Linked DNA regions of Danio rerio. The protein of the gene in region 1 purifies or fractionates together with the protein of each later gene. This does not show direct contact. Links are inferred from orthologs where the notes say so. Each region holds a gene or a part of one and is shown in the gene's direction. Other genes may lie near its edges.

Evidence for each region.
Region 2: the proteins of eif4a1a (region 1) and ibtk purify together in Homo sapiens (co-immunoprecipitation; 4 studies listed by BioGRID and IntAct, counting the BioPlex papers as one, with this or other methods). This does not show direct contact. The link is inferred for Danio rerio from reciprocal best matches to the Homo sapiens genes EIF4A1 and IBTK.
Region 3: the proteins of eif4a1a (region 1) and npm1b purify together in Homo sapiens (affinity purification with mass spectrometry; 3 studies listed by BioGRID and IntAct, with this or other methods). This does not show direct contact. The link is inferred for Danio rerio from reciprocal best matches to the Homo sapiens genes EIF4A1 and NPM1.
Region 4: the proteins of eif4a1a (region 1) and eif4ea purify together in Homo sapiens (affinity purification with mass spectrometry; 8 studies listed by BioGRID and IntAct, counting the BioPlex papers as one, with this or other methods). This does not show direct contact. The link is inferred for Danio rerio from reciprocal best matches to the Homo sapiens genes EIF4A1 and EIF4E.

The regions. Positions count from the first base shown.
Region 1 is NC_133182.1:26,546,631-26,550,609, reverse strand, and holds the start of eif4a1a (eukaryotic translation initiation factor 4A1A), read left to right. Parts: upstream 1-1,179; 5' UTR 1,180-1,221; coding exon 1,222-1,244; intron 1,245-2,588; coding exon 2,589-2,637; intron 2,638-3,066; coding exon 3,067-3,199; intron 3,200-3,495; coding exon 3,496-3,635; intron 3,636-3,951; coding exon 3,952-3,979. UniProt on the Homo sapiens protein: ATP-dependent RNA helicase which is a subunit of the eIF4F complex involved in cap recognition and is required for mRNA binding to ribosome.
Region 2 is NC_133191.1:5,050,850-5,054,349, forward strand, and holds part of ibtk (inhibitor of Bruton tyrosine kinase), read left to right. Parts: 5' UTR 1-99; coding exon 100-423; intron 424-2,846; coding exon 2,847-2,943; intron 2,944-3,500. UniProt on the Homo sapiens protein: Acts as an inhibitor of BTK tyrosine kinase activity, thereby playing a role in B-cell development. Down-regulates BTK kinase activity, leading to interference with BTK-mediated calcium mobilization and NF-kappa-B-driven transcription.
Region 3 is NC_133189.1:6,155,414-6,158,913, reverse strand, and holds part of npm1b (nucleophosmin 1b), read left to right. Parts: intron 1-275; coding exon 276-361; intron 362-2,792; coding exon 2,793-2,850; intron 2,851-3,500. UniProt on the Homo sapiens protein: Involved in diverse cellular processes such as ribosome biogenesis, centrosome duplication, protein chaperoning, histone assembly, cell proliferation, and regulation of tumor suppressors p53/TP53 and ARF.
Region 4 is NC_133189.1:48,172,714-48,175,798, reverse strand, and holds the end of eif4ea (eukaryotic translation initiation factor 4E-1A), read left to right. Parts: intron 1-1,623; coding exon 1,624-1,738; 3' UTR 1,739-1,753; intron 1,754-1,826; 3' UTR 1,827-2,585; downstream 2,586-3,085. UniProt on the Homo sapiens protein: Acts in the cytoplasm to initiate and regulate protein synthesis and is required in the nucleus for export of a subset of mRNAs from the nucleus to the cytoplasm which promotes processes such as RNA capping, processing and splicing.

The DNA.
Region 1 (3,979 bases):
CTGCACAGCCAGTGAGGGAAACAAAACAAAAAAAGATACATTTGTCCAAAAAGCCTGAGAGACTCCACACTGAGGAAATTTCATCCTCAAGTCACTTGTGTTTTTGTTTTGTATAACTCTTCTGTTTGGTTTCGTATTGGAGCCCAACGCCTTGACTGAGACACCGGAGGTTATTAACAGTTGACTGCCAGGCAGGCCCTTGTGTGTTGCTGCCTGAGTCAAACATTCTGTGTTGGGTTTCATTTTTTTGTTCTGCGCATAAAGTTGTTGCAAAACTCCTAATCAGAAATGTTGGCATGAGAGTAACTGTGCTAAAATGCAAGTAACAAATCATGTCTGCCGTTTTGTTTTTAATAAATCATCATGCGAAAATAATAATTGATGCATTCATCAAGAATTACATGCTTTTTTTTGTCACTTAAATAGCCCAATTTGTTATGATGGGTTACTGAATCACCACACTGTTTACTTTGTACTGTGCTCATCCTTTCTTAAACTGGAAGTAATACCAGTAAGCTGTTTTAAGCCTTCATATTTGTAAGAACTGTTAAATGGGAACAACAGCTGTGAATCATAAATGACTCACTTTCGACATTTATGCAGAGGAAGACAAGACATTGGGCAATAAGGGAGGGTTGTCCTGTACTATCTTGAAGTCAGCAGCAAATTATTTGACCCAGTAACATTTTACATTTGACCCAGTAAGATTTTACATTTGAATGCTGTCAGAACCATTTTGAAACATTTCAACAGCGAGTGACATAAATAGTAAAGGTACTCAAATATGTATGTCCATTTAAACCCATCATAAAAACAAACAGGTCTTCGTATTGTCATTTAACGTTATTTACGTTAGCATATTCTATAAAGAAATGGACTCAAAATGTTTTCGACGAAAACCTGTAATTTGTGCTATTTTTTTATACGTGTAGTTGGTTTACGTCATTTAAAAAGGTATTTACCATTTAGAAAGTATCTTTCTAAGCATCACATTTCCTTTGAAATTTGTTTTAAGTTCCAGTTAGGATTTTTCCCCATTTCGTGACGTCTATGAATAGGCGCTTATGATAGGGCGGTGCCAATCGTTAACTAACCAATGAGAGTTGTTACTGGGCGGGACTACAGGCTGACTGAACGGCAAGACGTCCAATCAATGGACTTTGAACATCGTCACGGTTTAAGTATTTGCGCGTTTCCGCCAGTCTACAGTCCTTTGTAATAATGTCGTCTGAACATGAAGATAGGTAAGATAACGTGTTCGACGAATGTTTTTTCTATCTGTTAAAATATTGATTATTTATGGAAAACAATTAGGAATTCTTATCGATTTAAGATGTATTGTAGTAAAAGATTGTTCATTAGCGGTTTAAAAACTAGCATTATTTGCCGATTTGGCATGTTCGTGCTCGCCCTGTTCCCGCCTCGTTAAAATCGTTTAGAAAAGTGTGTTTTTAATCCAGTTTCCTGCGATTTTGTCGTTTTGTTTTAGGATATCGTATTGATGTTAACTAAAAAGTGTTTTAAGATGAATTGGTGCCATATTTTCGATGTTCCGTTAAAATGCCGGTTCTTGTGACGCAACGTGTCTCACGCGCTGCTTCAGTACATCGTGTGACCGGCGCGTCCATGCGGCACATGGCCGTTTCATTTCCCTCGTTTTGAACCGATTGCGGACATTTTCAACATTCATTGTTATGTACTCTACTCGAGAACATTGTTTCGGATGCCATCCATTATTAAAACCGACTTTGTTGGCAGATTTAAGCCCTCAATCGAGAGGATATGTATGGCACATGGCCTTTCATGGGCGAGACAATGGAGTGTGGTCTGGGAGTATAACGTTAGGCCTAACGTCAAGGCCTGTTTTCAACCATTTCAAACCAACTATTTTCTAAGATTAAAATTTTATAACTTTAAAGGGTGGTATTTTTATGGATTTAAAAAGAAGCGAAGCGGTGTCGTTGTTTAATATGTAACTTGATATACTGTAACTTCATAATCGAGAAACATGCGTGTTAATTAAATGGTATATCAATCTGCGTGGTTATGCTGTTTCGTGACGTTTTTTATAAGATTGGATGTTGTAGTAATAGATTAATGTTGAATATGCGAATGAATGTGTCTCGGTGGAGCCACGTTGGTAATGGCGCTGAGCGAAAATGGCTGCCTCTTGGTAACGTAGATTTCAGAGGTTGCTATATCAGTTTCTTTAAGTTCTGTCTCAGTTTAACTAAACAATAATGAACATCGAAAAACAAACCTGTCGGACCCATTTTTATAAAAAGTAATGTTAGGTGGAGTGACAGTCTCCGTCACCGTTACTTTCAGTATGTGGGAAATGACGCAATGAAAGTGAATGGAGATTGACTGTGACTATGCCTCACAGTCTGAGCAATTTTTTTGGGGGGGGGGTGGGTTTATATATATATATATATATATATATATATATATATACATATATATACATACATTCTATGCAGTAGTAAAGTTCAGTTAATGTGTTCTTTGGAGATGTTCAGATTTTGGCACTGAGAAATTAATTTTGCGAAATGAGTTGTCAATGTACTAATTACAACCTCTTATTGCAGACCCAGAGACAATGGCCCGGAGGGGATGGAGCCAGATGGAGTCATTGAGGTTGGTGTCTCTTAAGAGCCATTTCACCTAAAGTATTTATAACCACAATATTGTATACGTCTTTGTGTCTATGGATAGCAGGAATCACTATAGAATAAAGGTAGTAATTAGATACAGATATTACATATAACTAAACATAGTGGGTCATGAATTCCTTATCTTTGATCTGTCCACAAATTTAAATGTAAAATCAGGGCTTCATGTTATTTCGAGGCGGTTATACAATTTATAGAGGCTACAGAAGTCCATATATACTTAAATCTTTTTTTTTTTTTTTTGCAATAAAAATCATAGAATACTCAACAAAACATTATGCAACCCTGAAATAAAGTAATAAAATAGTTACTTGTAAGCTATTTATATTCAGGTGCAAAAAATGAGTTGTCGTGTGTTAATAATAATCAACTATAAATCACATTTATTTTACAGAGCAACTGGAAGGAGATTGTTGATAGTTTTGATGATATGAACCTGCGAGAGGCACTTCTCAGAGGAATCTATGCTTATGGTTTTGAGAAACCTTCCGCCATTCAGCAAAGGGCAATCCTCCCTTGTATCAAGGGTATGTAGAAATGTAACTATCCATCTATATTTGCTTGGCATATTTACTTGAACGAAAATATTTGTTTATTCACGCCCTTATCATCTGGGCAAGGCTGTGTCTGTCAGTGACACTCTGACCTATATCTGGTAAGGGCAGAGGAAATAAAGCCCATATTCATCCCAGTCATCTCAATACAGTGAGGCATAGACTGTTTCATGGTATGGGCACAAACTGCCTCGGCATACTCCTTGAAGGCTTTAGTGAGTAACCGACTGTGAAACACCAAATAATAATAATTAATATTCTCTCTATAGGTTATGATGTCATTGCACAGGCTCAGTCCGGCACAGGAAAGACTGCCACGTTTGCCATCTCCATCCTGCAGCAGATTGATGTGGAGCTGAAGGCCACACAAGCTATGGTTCTGGCACCTACCAGAGAGCTGGCCCAACAGGTGCGAACCATTTCACATTCAACACTAGGGACACAAGATAAAGTCTTGCAAATGTTTCAGTTTTATACACGTGTCCCCTATCATCTGGGCAAAGCTGTGCCTGCCAGTGGCACAAAGCTTATATCTGTTAGGGGCAGAGGAAATGAAGGCCATATTCATCCCAGTCGGCTCAACGTAGTGAGAAAAAGACTGTTTCATGCTATGGGCACATACTTGTCTTAACTTGACTCATGAGCTCAGCTAGTTTCAGATGCAATGAATGTTAAATGGGATTGATCTCTCAAGCTGATGCAGAACTCTCTTCTGTTCTCCTCAGATTCAGAAGGTGGTCTTGGCTCTTGGAG
Region 2 (3,500 bases), on another chromosome or scaffold:
ATAATTGCTTGGTAAGTCTGAGAAGTTTAACCATTAAGCAAATATTGTGTGGGGTTTGGGTTATTTTTTGGGTTTTAGTTTTGCGGGTGGGAAGCAAAAATGAATCTGGGAACTCCAGATTGCACACCGAAGTGCCGTTCTGAAAGGCACGCGGATGAAGTGATCTCAGCTTTGACCAGCGGTTCAGAGGCCTGTCTGCGGGCCTTCCTGTCTGTCCACTGTCACAATTCGGCTACTCTGCGGGATGAGTTCGGACGCACAGCTCTCCACCTCGCAGCCTCCATGGGAAAGCGGGAACTGCTTCAGTGGCTTCTGGACTGTAAACATGCTGACCTGTTGGCGAAGGACAAGGAGTCTGGCTGGACTGCACTGCATCGCAGCGCCTTCTACGGGCAAATTCACTGCCTCATAACCCTCATCAAGGTGAGAGCTGATGTCGATACAGTATAGACCACTTCAATGTGGCAATTGTCACTGGCCCACGAACATTTCCTGTTTGTTGTCAAACTAACCAACACGAAATAGGTTAGGACCATTGTTTTTTGTTTACATCCCTCAAAATGGTCTTAGGAAGAAATGATTTAATTCAGATATACATTAGAGCAGTCTTTCCCAACGCTGTTCCTGGAGAAACACCAATAGTACATATTTTGTATGTCTCCCTTCTTTAACTTCAGGTTTTGGAGTCTTGTTATGTTTTAATGAGTTGATTTCAGGTGTATTTGATTAGGGAGAGGTTGAAAATAAGTACTGTTGGTGTGCAGGGTTGGGTAACACTCATAGTCTGTAAAATATACAGTCTATGAGTGTTGCACAACCCTTTCTCCATAAGACTTTCACCAGAAGAAAAAATATTATCAGACATATTGTGAACATTTTCTTGCTCTGTTAAACATTATTTGGGAAATAATTAAAAAAGGAAGAATAATTCAAAGGGGGTCTAATAATTCTGACTTCAGCTTTATATGTAATTGTCTGTATTGCAGCCTTATTTGACGTAGTGACGTCACCCATAGGTTTTTGAAGAGCGCAAAAGAAGCCACAAGTAGGCGCGGCCAACCATTATTAGACCCCCTGTTTAATTCTTTCCCCAATTTTTGTTTAACGGAGAGAAGATTTTTTTTTAACACATTTGTAATCATATTAGTTTTAATAACTCATCTCTAATAACTGATTTATTTTATCTTTGCCATGATGACAGTAAATAATATTTTACTAGATATTTTTCAAGACACTTCTATACAGCTTAAAGTGACATTTAAAGGCTAAACTAGGTTAATTTTATTAACTAGGCAGATTAGGGTAAATAGGCAAGTTGTTATAAAGCGATGGTTTGTTTTGTAGACAAAAAAAAGCTGAAAGGGGCTAATAATTTTGTCCTTTAAATGGTTTAAACAATTCAAAACTGCTTTTATTCTAGCCGAAATAAAACAAATAAGACTTTCTCCAGAAGAAAAAAATATTATCAGACATACTGTGAAAAGTTTCTTGCTCTGTTAAACGTTATTTGGGAAATAATTAAAAAAGAAGAAAAATTCAAAGGGCGTCTAATAATTCTGACTTCAACTTTATATGGAATTGTCTGTATTGCTGCCTTTTTTGATTTATTTTGATTTTTTTGCAATTAGTTTAATGACGTTGTAAACAATCAACAGTCTTCATGATAATGAAAATTTTGAAACTGTGATACTAACCATCAACAAGTTGACAGTAGTTTACCTTAAACCACTAATATACAAAGTCATTTAATTAAGTTAAATGACACAAGCACACAAATTTATATCACAGTTGGTTTTGTTGCTGTTACAGAGTGAGAAATTGCACACTTCACCATTTAAAGATCCCATGAAGTGCTTTGAAATGTAAATTTTTTTAATTTGATGTTTGACATAATCTTTACTGAAAAACGTAGAGAGGGCGGGATATAGAGTAGCTCCTCCCCTTTAAAAAAACATCTATTAGCGATTTGTTTTATCATAGCTCTGCCAGTGAGAGTGGTTGAGCTCAAGTGCATCAAATGAAAAGTAAATGAACAGCGTATTAAAGGGGGCGGGGGATGTCAGACACTAGAGAGCATTTGATTGGTCAAGATTTGATGAGTAACTGAAATAAAAGGTGACGTGAAATAAACCATTGATCCATTTAGCCGGAAGTGGCAAGCTACAAGTTTTACATGTTTATATTTTCTAAATGCAAATTTGTGTGATTGTTTTGTACCACACTAGCTTACAAATATACTTGAAGACTAACATACTGATACTAACATCTAAATAACGTTACTTTAATTTCATTGGACCTTTAAAACAAATTACAAAAATGTTCATTTTCCATTCAAAGCTGGTGGATTTTTGGAAGTTTTATATCACGTATGTGGCATGAAAGTCAGCACGAAAATGAACTTGACTCTCTATTGTCATGCATATCTGAATGAAAAGGTCTTAAAATGCAGGTTGGGAATTGATTTTGTTCATGGAGTATGGACGCAATGAGTAAATAATGTTAATTGGCCTCCTGGCTGATATATTTGAGAGCCACTGCAGGTTTTAAAACGCATTGAACTGTGGAACGGGAATCACCAGGGCTGCTTTATATTCTCCATCCATTCCATTGGTTTATTGGCTTGCATGGTTGTCTTTGATTCAAATGTGTTTGGGTCATACTTTAGAAAGGCTTCTGTTTGAATTTATTTGTTTAAAGTCATTACATTTGAAGGACTCCAGTGCATTAATTGTAATCTTTACACTTTTTATTATACTGTTATTCAAACCACTACCAGTTTTTCAACAAACAATATTTAATCTTTTTAAATGTAATTAAATGTAATATATTAAATGTTTGCGTTCCAGCGTGGAGGATCGCTGTCCATGCAGGATAAGGAGGGTCTTTCTGTGCTGGACCTGACCATGAAGGACCGTCCAGCGCATGTTGTGTATCAAAACACTGGTAATTAAATTGGTTCCATTTCCTCACTACTATTCATTTTACTGTACCAACTCTCATTTATAACATTGTTCGCTTTAAGATATTTTTTTCATTTTTGTCAGTCTTCCTCTTCAATATCAGTGTTATAAAAAACTTTTGAGAAGTATCTCTTGTTTTCATGTAGTAAAAGCATAGTAAGACTTTACATTAAGGTTAAGGCATTAGTAAATATGGATTACCACATCTGTTAACCATTACTCAATCTATATTTATGTTAACTAAACATATATTAGCATGTTATTTAATATATATATAAAGGGGACCTATTATGCAAAAATCACATATAAGAGGATTAGGGTGCTTTCACACTATCACTTTTGGTCCGCACCCGGGTTCATTTGACGTCATAGTACGGTATGTTTAGCTAGTGTGTGAACGTCTGCAGAAACACTTTGGCCCCATTTACACTAGTGCATTTTAGTTCTAAAACGGCGTTTAAGATCATAAACGATCCGCGTCCACACTAGCTTTTCACCTAGCGTCTCTGAACATATCTCCGTCCACACTACGCCACCAAA
Region 3 (3,500 bases), on another chromosome or scaffold:
ACATCTTCTTTTGCGTTCAAGTTAAGGGTGAGTAAATGATGACAGGATTTTTCATTTTGAGGGACTTTCTTTTTAAGGATGTGATTTACTGGCCAAAAAATAACTGCAATGCTTATTTATTTTTTGCTGCTTATTACTTCATAAAATTGAGACACCAGGAATATAAAAATAAGTAATATAATTGCATAACTATAGTTTAAATATAATGTAATATGATTATATCATCTAATTTTCTGCTTCTAATAGAGGTATTTTTTTTCTTTTTTTTTATTTAGAAAAAGCTGAAAATGGACTCAGATGAGGATGAAGACAGCGATGATGATGACGACGACGACGACGATGATGATGATGATGAAGAAGAGTAAGAGCTCAAGTTTGTTCAGTTATAAAGTGTTTCATTGAAAGTTTTTACACGCAGTGAACTACTTCAATAAGGTTCATTTATACTTAAGTATATGACAAAATATATATAATCATAAAAACAGTTTACATGCATACAATTAAATTATACAGTTGAAGTCAGAATTATTAGCCTCCCTAAATTATTAGCCCTCGTTTATTTTTTCTCCTCAATTTCTGTTTAACGGAGAGAAGATTTTGTCAACATATTTCTAAGCATAATAGTTTTAATAACTCATTTATAATAACTGATTTATTTGATTTTTGCCATGATGGCAGTAAATAATATTTGACTAGATATTTTTTAAGACACTTCAATACAGCTTAAAGTGTTTAACTACGATTAACTAGGTTAATTATGTTAGTTAGGCAGGATAGGGTAATTAGGCAAGTTATTGTATAACAATGGTTTGTTCTGTTGACTATCGGAAAAAAAAAATAGCTTAAAGGGGCTAATAATTGTGTCCCCAAAAATGGTATTTAAAAAATTAAAAACTGCTTTTATTCTAGCTGAAATAAAACAAATAAGAATTTTTCTAGAAGAAAAAATATTATCAGACATACTGTGAAAATTTTCTTGCTATGTTACATCATTTGGGAAATATAAAAAATAAATTTAAAATTAAAAGGGGGTTTATATTTCTGACTTTAACTGTATATTCAAAAAATCATTTTAGAAATGTCAACAATGTATATTACAAATTAAAAATGTATAACAGTGTACAAAAAGTTGTAAATGTTTAAAATTTGTTTTACATTACTACGCAAATCAAATGGGCAAATCGTCTTTCATGTGTGAATCAACTTAGATTTGTGTGTGTGTTTATTCCTTTCTAAATTAAGTCTGATTACATAAATGGTTTGCCAAGTGGAGTACCTCAATTACATTGCTCTCTTTGAGGTATGATTGGTTGAACAATGACGTCTCATCTGATTTGCTAAAAAGTGATCTGTGTGAGAGTTGTGTGCTGCCTGGAAAGTCTCAAAAATATAAACAATCACAAATCCAGGGCGAATGTGAAATACAATTTGCACATTCACGTGAAAGGTAATTTATGAATACGAATTTATTTATTTATAATTTATGAGTAATATATATATATATATATATATATATATATATATATATATATATATATATATATATATATATATATATATATATATATATATTTATATTTATATTAGTGACTGTGGCTAGTAGTTTTTCAACATTACTAGCCACTCGCCATTTTCACGACCTACAATTTTGTTGTAAGGAGAATACATTTTATATGCATATATTTGATTTTGGCATGCTAAACTTTTTAATTTAGAAGTTGTGCTATGTCTACATGACTCCTTATTTATTTCACGTTTTGTGTGTTGTGTATGACCTCGTACAATGAGCATGAGCAAATAGATTTTAGTGCTGCATTGCAAATAGTTCTTGTTTCACAAGACTTAACAGGGATCAACACTACAGATTTACCTTATTATTATCTGGCTACACCAAAAAAAACAAAACTCAAAAAAAAAAAAATTCTTATCCACAAATTTAAAATAATTAGAAATTTTCAAAACAAGCCAAATATAGCTGTAAACAAACACTTTTTATTCAACAAAACTTTTCTTTAAAAAAATACAATTGACATTTTAAAAATATTTATTGTCATGTATCTAGAAGTATGAACAGTAGTCTGTACTGGCTAAAGGTCCCAGAACACCAGTTAACTACAAATAAATGGGAAGTTAATCTACTAATAAAGCAATGGTATTGTAAAGGATGATTAATATACCATAATTAATAAAACAATAACTGTAAAAGAAAGCAGGTGAAAAACATGCCATAATGAAAGGATGATCACCTGCACACGGTTAATGTTAGGCCCATTAATTAATTAATTCATTTTCTTGTTGGCTTAGTCCCTTTATTAATCCGTGGTCGTGACAGCGGAATGAACCGCCAACTTATCCAGCATGTTTTTACGCAGAGGATGCCCTTCCAGCCGCAACCCATCTCTGGAAAAAGCCCATTAATAATCTTTTCAAAGAATGGTTAAAGTGAAAGCGGCAACTGCTGCTGCTTGCACAATGACACTTTTTTTTTTTTTAAAGAATCTCAAACTCTAGCATCGTTTTTTGCATACATACACACACATGCACACACACACACACACACACATATATATATGTATATATATATATATATATATATATATATATATATATATATATATATATATATATATATATATATATATATATATATACACAGTTGTCAACATTTGAAGCTACCAACAACACCCATTCTTGTCTTGGGACAATTTTTTAAAATCTTTATTTTATCCACTTCAAATGTTAAGATCCACTTCAAATGTTCAGATGTTGAAATTAATTTTATCTATCTTTAGGGATGATGACAAACAAGAAAAGCCTGCTGTAAAGAGCCCTGTCAAATCCACTCAAAAAGTAAGTTTTCCTGCTTTTTTTGTTTAGAATATTTGGAAAAAGAAGTTTGGTACTTATGCTATATATATAAAGAACAGGATTATATTAAATAAAAATATATATTTTAACTTTTAAAATAATAGTGATTAACAGTAATGATATTTCACAATATTGGAATTACTGTATTAATTTTTTTTCTACATTTTTAGAGTTTTCCAAGACAGCAATTGTGTGATATTGTAAAACATAACAGTTTATTAATATTACTGTGTATTATTAGTTAGTAATAGTAATTACTGTTAAAAACTGTTAATAAACTAAATTATATTTTCCTAATATATTCTAAGATGCAAAACATTTGTGATGCAAAGCTGAGTTTTTCAGGATAACTCCAGGTTTTTTTATTTTCTGTTTTTATTTGATAAAAATCTTCTTTTCTCCATACTTTGAAACATGTTCACATTGCATGTTACATTTCGCCATGTTCCCACTGTGTTCCGAAGTGAACACCAGAGTGACCAGCAGGTGCCAGTCTCTTCCTGAGAGAGACTCAGAATCTTTCAGCACCTGTATTCACCCCATCAGCTTCGAGAGCACTTTATATTCTTTCCTTCACATTTTAATAACTAAAGTGTCTTTTGGTGCCATCTTTATCATCTTGTTCATATCCA
Region 4 (3,085 bases), on another chromosome or scaffold:
GAGTGTTAAATTATTTATCAAAAATTGAACTGAAAAATCATATTTAACTTTGAATATATTTTTGTGTGAATTTTATTTATTTATATTCTAAATATTTGTCTGAGTCACTTTTGTTGTAATATGAATTAGTTTTTATCATGTAATATTTTCTATCTATATCCATTTTGCCATGAATTAACCATACGTTGCTGATGTGGGAATAAATAAATAACATCAAGCCACCAATCCAAACATTTAGGTTGTTGCTGATTTAAAAAGGTTAAATTGTAAGGATTTGTGGAGTGAGAGGAAACGAAATGCAGTTAGAATTTTTTGCAAACTGAATTGCGACAGATTTTGTGACTTAGCTGCATATTTTTTCAGGTTTTCAGGTTCATTTTCTTTTTGGCTTAGTCCCTTTATTAATTCGGGTCGCCACAGCGGAATGAACCGCCTACTTATCCAGCAAGCTTTTACGCAGCGCATGCCCTTCCAGTCGAAACCCATCTCTGGGGAAAAAAAAGCTACTACTTGTCAACTATTTTTGGTTATTAGTCATGCAGATTATGCCTTGACTTTGTCTATAAGGCTACGTTCACACTGAGCCAAATGTGGCTCGAATTAGATTTTTTCCCCCTCATGTTACTCAGGTAATGACAGTGTGAACAACCCAAACGCATGGAATCTGATCTTTTCAGGTCAGATCTGTGCCACTTTCATATGTAGTCTTAAATTAGACACAGATCTGATGTTTTGCAATGCGACTGCAGTGTGAACGGTTATGTCGGATTTCTTGTGACTTTTACATAATCTTCGAGCAACATGCGTCATTATTCTGTGCTGCAAACATCCTGTACTCCTCAGCAGCATCGTAGAACGGCACACAGGGCGTTTACTGCACCACAGAAAGCTTGTTGTTTTTTTGAAAAAGATTTTGGAGGCAAAACTGGTGTTTGTTAACGATTGAGGCGCGGGTTGATCGTGAAGCTGAAGAGCATCGTGGGTGTTGCAAATAGGGACTCTGTGTGCAAAGGAGGATGAACTTTCTCTCCGAGAGAAAAAAGGGCAGGTGCTCGAGCATCCAAACCCCCCTTCTGCACGTGTCTACTGTTTATAATGAAGTAAAATTAAATAACTGCAAATGGAGATAAAACAACTCCGCCTTTACAGTTTAGTCTTACTCTGTTCATTAACCCTTGATGAGTTCACTGCACCGGTGGTCATACAAACGTGCACCGCTGTTGTCATAAATCACAAACGATCAGTGATTTCAATCACAAGTGACTTGTTTTAGATTTCAAATGGCAGAATACACATTAGTAGTAGCAGAACAATCATTTACGGTTCATGAAACACACCATGGTTGTCTGTGAAAAGGGCAATAATCATATAAGCATGGTCTGACAACGTGCTTACTTCATACAGTATCACAAGTGCATAATTAGACATTTTGTGCTGTCTGTAATGTACTTTTGCGCAAGCGGGTCACTTTAGGATCTGTTCACCCTGCAAATCTGAAATTGGCCACATTTATAAGAGCATCGTCAACAGCCATACACAAAAAAAAAAATCTGATTTGAGCACTAAACCTAGCAGTGTGAACGTAGCCTAAGTGTCTACATTTTGTCTTTTCCTCCTTAACAGGCGTGTGTACAAAGAAAGATTAGGTGTGCCACCAAAGGTCATCATTGGATACCAGTCACATGCGGACACGGCCACCAAAAGTGGTTCCACCACCAAGAACAAGTTTGTTGTTTAAGGAGCCTTTTAAACAGTAGGTATTTTTATCATTCCTTTAACATTTTCATATCTTTACATCGATTACTCATGCCGTGATTTAATTTCAGATGCTGCATCAACAGTCTGAATCTATATCAAATCCAGATCTTCATCAACAGTGACATATAAACAGACAAGCAGGATCTGACCTTTCCACAGGATTCTGTGAGGGAAACACTAGGAAATTAAAGGCCTTGAGATTTGAAGATTATTCAGAGGAATATCGTATTTACAAAACTGTACAGTGTATAAAAAACAAAGCCACGTTCTTTTTTTAATTGTCAACGTACTATTAACAAATCGTTTTTGCTAGTGGGGATTGGGGGAGTGCGTTCGATTCAATTTATGAATGTTTTTCTTTCATATTCCGTTTGACTTTTTTATGTTGTGTTGCAGTTATTAAATCTTAAGTGTAATTTATTTATTTTTTTACTCGGTGCACTAATTTCTGCTTTGGATTTAGTGTTTAAGTGATTTCGACGGTAACCTGATCATGCTATTTCTAATCACACTATCTCGTATTGCAGCTTGAGAATGTCAAAGGTTGGCTCTGTTGCAAAGACTGTTGTATAAATGTGTATTTTTGCAGTCTTGTTCCACATTCCTCATGTCAAGTGTTTAAGGCAGTATTGAGACAACGGATCTCCTTTTTTCACAAAGTAGCTGGATTTCTTTGTAATACGAAACATAACTCCTTTCTTGAACATGGGTGCTTATGAAAATGTATGGAAAAAAACTGACTGTAAATAAATTGTACAGTGCATTGTCTATAACTAGTAAGAGCCTCTGAAATGCTTATGTTTATGATAAATAAATAATCCTCTCTGAGATTCTTGAGATGTGGAAAACATTTTCTTGTTCCATTAGGATATTTACACTCCAAAAAGTGAATATCTTCCTCAGTGTTTTCTTTATTTAATACAAATATTTAAACATCCTTCAAACGAGATACATTAGTTGAGATGCAAAAGACTTCTCTGTTGCAGTGTTGGGCAAGCTTGGGAAATGTAGTGAGCTAAACTATTAGTTACTCTATGTAAAATGTAGCTTAACTACACTAAAAGCTACCGCCTGGGAAATGTAGTAAGCTAAATTAGATGGCAAAAGTAGCTTAGCTACATCTAAGCTATTTTTTATTTTTACATCGAAGCAACTTCAATCCAATTCTGATTAAGTGATCAATAAAACTGCATAATTAAGTTCAGTTATTTACTGCAATTAATATGCTCTACTAAACAGAAATAGCTTGTATTAGACAGCAAACACAAATAAATTCAAAAATCCTGTGCTGCACATTTTAAATACTATAGTAATATAAAGATATATT